2 linked regions of the Arabidopsis thaliana genome follow. The protein of the gene in region 2 interacts with the protein of the main gene of each other region in a pairwise test. Each region holds a gene or a part of one and is shown on either strand. Other genes may lie near its edges.

What was found.
Region 1: the proteins of AT5G52750 (region 2) and AT1G17080 interact in a two-hybrid assay, tested with the Arabidopsis thaliana proteins (one large-scale study listed by BioGRID).

What each region holds. Positions count from the first base shown.
Region 1 is NC_003070.9:5,839,726-5,843,972, forward strand, and holds AT1G17080 (Ribosomal protein L18ae family), read right to left. Parts: upstream 2,021-4,247; 5' UTR 1,812-2,020; coding exon 1,604-1,811; intron 1,187-1,603; coding exon 1,108-1,186; intron 1,016-1,107; coding exon 898-1,015; intron 793-897; coding exon 733-792; 3' UTR 544-732; downstream 1-543. Other genes in the region: STIPL1 (GC-rich sequence DNA-binding factor-like protein with Tuftelin interacting domain-containing protein), read left to right, coding at 1-477; AT1G17090 (uncharacterized protein), read right to left, coding at 2,739-3,020.
Region 2 is NC_003076.8:21,382,000-21,385,624, forward strand, and holds AT5G52750 (Heavy metal transport/detoxification superfamily protein), read left to right. Parts: upstream 1-2,017; 5' UTR 2,018-2,134; coding exon 2,135-2,146; exon of another isoform or gene 2,147-2,294; coding exon 2,295-2,370; intron 2,371-2,464; coding exon 2,465-2,796; 3' UTR 2,797-3,016; downstream 3,017-3,625. Other genes in the region: AT5G52740 (Copper transport protein family), read left to right, coding at 531-536, 686-761, 907-1,181. UniProt on the Arabidopsis thaliana protein: Probable heavy-metal-binding protein.

The sequences.
Region 1 (4,247 bases), on a different chromosome or scaffold from region 2:
CGTGCTAAACCAAGGTTCGAAGAGATCCAGGGATGGTATTATGGTTGGAAAGAGTTATTCCCGCAAGAGCTTACAGCAAATGAGAGGATCCGAATTCAGTTAAAGCGTGGTTTAGATATGTTGATGGAAGCTGTTGAAGGAGTTGAAGTGTCTCAGCCAAGAGCAAAGGCAAATGAGCGTACACAGTCCGTGCCGGCTCAGGCTCAAGCTCAGGCCAAGGCTCAGATGGATAGCACTGAAGTGTTGAGTTTGAAAGAAGTCTTGGAAGTATTTGCGCAAGAGCAGGAGTTGCTGTTCAAACCTAAACCGAATAGAATGCACAATGGTCTTCAGATATATGGGTTTGGGAATGTGAGTGTCATTATAGACTCAGTGAACCAGAAGCTGTTGGCTCAGAAAGATGGCGGTTGGTTTCTTGTAACCCCTGATGACTTATTGAGGATGCACAACAATACAACTGTTTCTGCAAAAAGATAGTTTCATTTCATTTTGTAAGTTTCCTGATGTAAAAACCATCTTCAATCTCATCACATTTTGTCTCTCTGTCTTAAATTTCATATCTTTGACTTCTTCTTATTTAGATAACAAAACTCAAATAATTCTTGTGAAGTTTACACTTTTTTTTTTCTTGTTTCTTCATAGAGTAAGTAAAAAAGGAAGTAGATAATACAACACACGATAAAGAAACCTATACAAACATTTTTAGAGTAACCCCACAAGATGATTGATCCATCACCAGTCGTCTGCTCCTTTAGATACACCCAGAATCACAGCGATTGTTGCTAGAATAGCCTGCAACGTTTAGACATGAATCAATTTAATTTAATTTGTCGGGAGTCCAATGGGATATAAGGAAAAACGAGAGAAGATAAGGACAGAGAGTAGAAGAAATATTACAGCGATAGTGCAGGCAATGTATCCTGGTTTCTCCCTGTAATCGATTCTCCTTCCAAACATCATGATGAACAATCCGACATACCAAGGGATTGCTCCAAGGAAAAATCCAACAATGAACCTTCCACAAGACCAAATATTTTCTCAGGCATGTGAAGAGAGAGGGAGATTCAGAAAATACTAAGCTCGTGTTTGAAGTAGAAATGAACTTACAGGAACCATCCAAGACCAATTCCACAGCAAGGAAGGCGACGTTGTCTGACAGGTCTTCCTTCAGCAACACCACCATGGACTGAAAAATACAACAATCAAGAAAGAGTAAACATAAGAACGGTTGAACACACATCTATTTATGCTCTTGACTTGGATTTGAACAAGAAGAAGAAGAGAAAATGAGACACTACATAAGCCTTACAAATTTTCCATAGCACAAACCAATACAACCTAACTAATTAACTGAGCTGTTCCTAGAAGTAATCAAAGCTCTCCAAACTTTATAATTCTCATCAAAGCTTGTTATAACATTTTGATTAAAACAAAGAACAACCCCAAAACTTGTTTCTATAGCTAAACAAACACGATCCCGTAATCAAATTAGAATCTTATGAAGACAATGAATGATCACTATTAATTTTACAACAGTTCAACCTAAATTCCCAAATCTGCTAAAATATGAAATCAGAATATCCAATACAGGAAGTGAAGCTACCTGGAACAGTTTGATATCCATGAGCGTAATAAGGAGCTCCAGAATCGTAAACGCCAGGTGGCGCAGAAGGTTGAGGAAACCCAGTGACCGGAGCAGAATTCTGCGGCGGAGGGTAATTGGAAACACCTTGAAAGGTACCGTATTGATGATGCTGGTTACCTTCTTCCGAAGCAAATCCTTTGCTTTTATCTTCTTCTCCGTGACCCATCTCTTTCTCCGTGATCTGATCGCTCTTTCTGATTCAATCGAGATTGAAGCGTTGAATCAATTTGAAGAAGAAGTCTCTTTTTTTTTTTTTTTTGGTTAAAACACTTTTAATTATTTGCTGTCAGACCCCAGATAACGCGTATTTCCGAAAATTGGCCCGGAGTTATTATTATATGCTTTTACAAACCGACTGCAATGTTTGACATTAATACGATTGCTATTCATACTAATAAGAAAGTTTTGAAAATATAATTTATGAAGAAACATGTGGTTAGGGTATAATAAATATTAAATGCATCCGTCGAAGCTTCGAGTTCTTGGAAATGATTATGAAATTAACTAATGTTCTTTATCATCCATGAATATGATTTATCATCTTCAATCATTTTTATACAATTAGGCAATGGAAACTATAATACAGAACAGAGAATTTTATCAGTAGTCTGTCACTATAAGCATTTCGTTGTCCTTGTTTTTAATTTTAAATATCTATTTCAAGTTTTTTAATTGTCACTTTTGTCAACTAACAACATCGTTGTTAAACTTTTTATTACTTTCTTTGAGTGGAATTTTTTTCTCTTCTTCTTTCACGCTAAGTAGAGGCAGCCTTTAATTCTCAGCCTCCAAAGAAACGTAAACCTTGAAAATTAAACTTAATCAAGAAATATATGCACCACAAATTAAACAATATAACTTTGAACTTTCCACAAATTTGTGCACCACCACCATTCAATTTACATATGCTTTTTGCAGACTGTATAATTTCTTTCATATGATACACATGAAACAAAAACAAAAATCTGGATTCCGCATAAGATGGATACTCTCGATCTATGGATTTAACCATTTACAAGTAGGAATGATCATAAGACAAAATTGCAAAAGCAAGAGGAGAATTGTGTAATGGAAATAGAAGCCAACCTTTGTTTCAACAAGCACAAATATCCTCATGAGAGCAATCTTGGCCACCATCATCATCATCAGTGGAGTCAGATAATTCTTGGTTACTAGAGACTGTAATGATCATTACCTTCTCATCTGGTTTAGCTTCCTCTGGTTCAATAAGATTCTTCCTGAGATCACTGAAATCCTGGTTTTCATCTTTCATGGAGCTCTGAAGAATGGAGAAGCAAGTGAAACAAGAAAACACTAAATTGATTGCAAACAAGGAGATGCAGAAGATCACGACGATACAATTGTAAGCATCCATTCTTCTTGGAAACTGAGCATGATGGTTGTTGGTTTACAACAAAAACCAGAATCGTTCAAATGGAGAAATCAAAAGTATTATTCACTTGAAAAGTGATTTGATTCTCTGGTCCCCTACACAGATATATAAGAAGAAAGCTCAAATCTGAATGTTTGGTGAGCTTACAACAACAATCTCTTATAAGAAGCAAACAAAAAGGATAAAGAAAACAATATTATTTTTTTGGGTCTGCGGTGGAGAAGATTTTTCAACAGATAAAGGTGGCAAGCATGACAAAAGCATTTGTCTCTTTCTTTCTTTTCCCACCAAATTCATATAAATAAAGATATTATGTTTTGCTAAAAAAGTACATATTACTAAATTCTAAACAACTTCAAATAATAAGCAACATAATATGAAAGGGAGAGATCATCTTCTCTTATATATGAATTGCGTTAATTAGTATTGCAGAGTATTTGATTTTACCTGCACATTTTCAATCAGAGAGTCGCAATAGCATCTGAAGAGACCATCACCACCTGTCTATATCAGTGAAAGGTTCAGGGTTTGCGATTTAAATCTGAAGTATGACAAAAAACCATTTGTTTATAAAGATTATCTGATGTTAGCATTCAATATGTAGCTTGAGTGTGGATAATAATCTATTAAGGATTTGAAGGTTTCTTGGTTTGAAGTAAACATCAAAGAGGCCTTACTACGTACAAAACTTCATTTAAAAAGACATAGTTTGTGGCAATCCGAATTAGTAAACTAGACTTGTTCTTCGACTTATCTAATTCATAAATAATTTATCACAATAAGCTCACAACTTATCATTGACTACTTGCATTATGCAATCTAGAAATACTAAGGATTATAAAGAACAATTTGTTGAAGACAGCTATCAAATTTAAAAGCCATGAACAACAAAATATAGAATACAAAAACACTAATATATTTTTCCCAATTCGTACAACAAGAAACCTATAATATTGTTTTAAAGACATCTTTGCATCAACACACAATTGACATTTGATCAACCAAGTCAACTCTTTTTTAAAAACATGGCAAGATGATGATACAAGAACATGTCAAATAAGTTCTACAAAATACCAAAAAAAAAACAATGCAGAAAAAGAGAATTCAGATGAGTAAGGCAGAGAGATCATGTTGAAACAGAGAACCACCTGCAGCTAATAGCTGGGCAGTAGTTAGTCTCATATTCAGCCACTACTGTTTCATCATAAT
Region 2 (3,625 bases):
AACTTTTGATTTGAATAGCATCTCCACAAACAGAAATACACATCTTTTATTTCCAGTTTTAAAAAGAATAAATAAGCCTCAAGCAGCTATCAAAATATAATGCAATATTGTTTAAAGAGTTTCATTTTATTCCGTAGCCATTTGAACAGCATTCGACATATAAATTTTAAGTTTAGCCAACAATTACCGATTCTTGCCAAAAAAAAAAAAAAAAAAATTACCGCTTTAATGTTTAAAGGACGAAGAAAACGTGTTATTTTAACTTTAAATTATTTTTAAAAGTTTAATAATTATTGTGTATGCATGGAGAAGCAATAAGTTACACCAAGTAACACTTGAGACATATACTTGATTTTTTTCCATTTTCAACGTTATAGGAAAATTGGTGTGAATTAGTATATCCTTGTCTTTTTCATGCCCTGCAACTTGCAGCTGCTTATATAAAGGACTAAGGAAAGGAGGGACACTTTCAAAGCTCATTAGTAATCTAAGACTTTTTCATATTTTCCAAACACTAATTGAAGAAAAACATGCAGGTTCGATTCTTTATATATATTTTCCTAATCTATGTTTCTTAATTGGAAGCTTGTAATAATTTTTCCGAATATTTTTTTATTGCTTATATATCAAATGTCATAATTCTACCCTAATTAGCTCTTTACCATAATTAATATTTTCATGACAGGTAGTTGTACTGAAATTAGATGTTCATTGTGAAAAAACCAAACAAAAAGCTATGTCAACTGTATGTTGTCTCTCAGGTATAAACAACACTCATCAATTGCTAATATATATTTTTTTTACTCATAAGCCTCTAAATTCTCTTAATCAATTGATTAAATCATAATTAAGTACATTTTGATTTTTTTTTGTATTGAAGGATTATTTTTTCTTTTGGTATTGAAGGAGTTAACTCGGTGGAGGTGAAAGATGGTAAACTAACGGTGACGGGAGAGATTGATGCCTATATGATTGTGAAGAAATTGAAGAAGATATGTCATACCGAGTTTATATCGGTTGGACCGGTTAAAGAACCAGAGAAGAAGAAGCCTGATGATCCGAAGAAGCCTGAAACGAAGCCACCAGATGTCATTTATCATTATGTCCCTCCATGTCCACCTTATTACCATAATTTCAACGGATGTTACAATGAAGATCCCAACGCTTGCGTCACCTCTTGAAAACAATATTTTGGTCGGATCAGTTTGGTTCACGATAGTCATCACTCATCAGCTTCGTCGTAGTCTTTGGTTTTGTTCTATTGTGATTGTTTTAACTCTTTCAGTCCAGTCCATTATACACACTCAACATGACTAGACCAAGGTTGCCACTCCCAGGCCCATTTCTTGTTTTAATTCCTTTTTTGTTTTCTTGTTAATAACATGCATTTAAATTTAGATGACGACGCATTAATTGACCATATTTAACACAAATCACTAGGTTATATACGTCTAATTCAAATGATTTTGTTTCATAAAAAATAAAATTAGATATCTAGTGATCTTATAGTAATATATAACAGTAATCTAAGTAGACTGCTCCACAATTATATTTTACTTTATTTAAAAAGAAGAAACTACGTAAGAGGTAAATAAAGTACATCTTTAAAAACAAAATTTATGAATGAAACATTGTGACTTTAATCTCGGTTTGATTTCGATTTCAGCTTTGGTTTTGATATGATTCAACTTTTACCTAGAGAACTTGCTTGAGAAGTTCTTATGACCGAAGAAGTCAATAAGGTCCAACCACAAATCAACGTTGTCCGGGTCGTACACGCGGAATTCTGAAAACTACACTTCCTTTTGTGTTCGTTAGACTCAAATTAATTTTCAACCAAATCATAAAAATAAATATAAAATTGGTAGAGAATGAGTCATTCTGAATGACTACTTTAACCTCTTTGTGGTCGTTATTGCAATACTATTTTTATTTAAAAAATACAAAAACTTTCCCTTGTGGCCTTGTGGGTCATATATAATAATACTTGCAAATTCCTTGGCAATTTCTATTTAAACCGATTTCAGTAGACTTGCTATTGTCATCATTTCATATCTTAGATCATCTCTCTTCTCTCTCTTTCTCTTAAGAATATTGGAAATTTCTGAAGCTTTTCTATAGTTGATCTCGAGCCATGCCTCCAATGGTACGCCTTCTTTTTCCTATGATATCTCTTAAAATAATTATGCGTTGAATAATCGTTTGTATATAAATACTATTTGACTATATATAGTTATGTTAATCAGGTTGAAAATATGTAATTAACCATACTGATCTCTGTTTTGAAATAACAGAAAGCTGTGTTGCAATTGAGCATTCACGAGGAAAGAATCAGGAAGAAAGCGTTTGTCACCGTTTCTCGATGTCCAGGTAACTTTATTAGTTACATTTTTCGAAATTTATAACATGATATATTGTTTGGAAAATGAACTTATATTCATGTTTTTTTCTTTTGTCTAAATAGGTGTTACTTCGATAACAATGGATGACAAAACCGGGAAAATGACAGTAGTTGGTGAAGTTGATGTACCGGTTATCGTGATGAAGCTAAGGAAGCTATGTAACACAGAGCTTGTTTCGGTTGAAGTTGTTAAACCACCTGAGAAAAAGCCTGAACCAGAGAAACCGGCTCCACCTAAACCAGCTCCAGCTCCAGCTAAACCGGCTGAAATTGTTGCCTGGCCGGTTCAGATGAACAACCCTTACCAATACAATCCTGCCTATGCAAATTCTTACTATCAACCATATGGGAACTCTAGATTTGTAACGGACGAATCAAATTGTGTGATTATGTGATAACTTATTTCAAATAATGTGTTAAGTTAGTTTTGATGGAAGAGTGTAATTTTTTAGCTACTGTAATATACATTTCTCATATGAGCTTATTCAGAAAAATTTATGTTACTGTATGATAAATTTGATCTTTATACGTTTTGTTAACTTTAACTTTTAATCATTTAGTAATAGTTGATCTTTTTCCTATACAGAATATTATTCTCTATACTTTGTCTTTTGCTTATATACTAATCAAATGGATACAAAAATATCACACACACACACACATAGTTAAGTCGCTCTCAACTTATTTATGAATATCAAGTACCAAGATCGTTCACGTAATACATTCAATTGTCCAAAACTAAAATAATTTTGAAACAATTAGAGAATGAGATATTAGTAAAGATGTGATGTAGAGAGTCAAGATCTGAAAGTCTCCTTTAGCAAAACAAATACTAATCAATAAAATTCCTACTTGGAGGGATCCACATGTAAACTGAGGCTTTCGAGGACATTTCCTTTCTTGACTATGAAATAGCAGTATTATCCGAGTCTTCTTACCATTTTTCAAATATAAATCGCACATTTACAGATTAAAAAAAAAAAAATTGGATTCATGCATTGAGTTGATTTTGAAATCTAACAAAACTCTTGTGTTACTTTTAAGTCATGACTTCTAAAATTTTAGTTTAAATCATGTGTTATTAAAGTAATCGTTTAAAATACAAATTAAAATTTGTGTTAATCTATTAGTATTTTAAAATTACAAATTAAGAATTATGTTTTTTTTGTCTGCGAATTTTGTTTTCGTTGCGCAACCAAAGAATTGTGGGTAAGAAATGTGTAA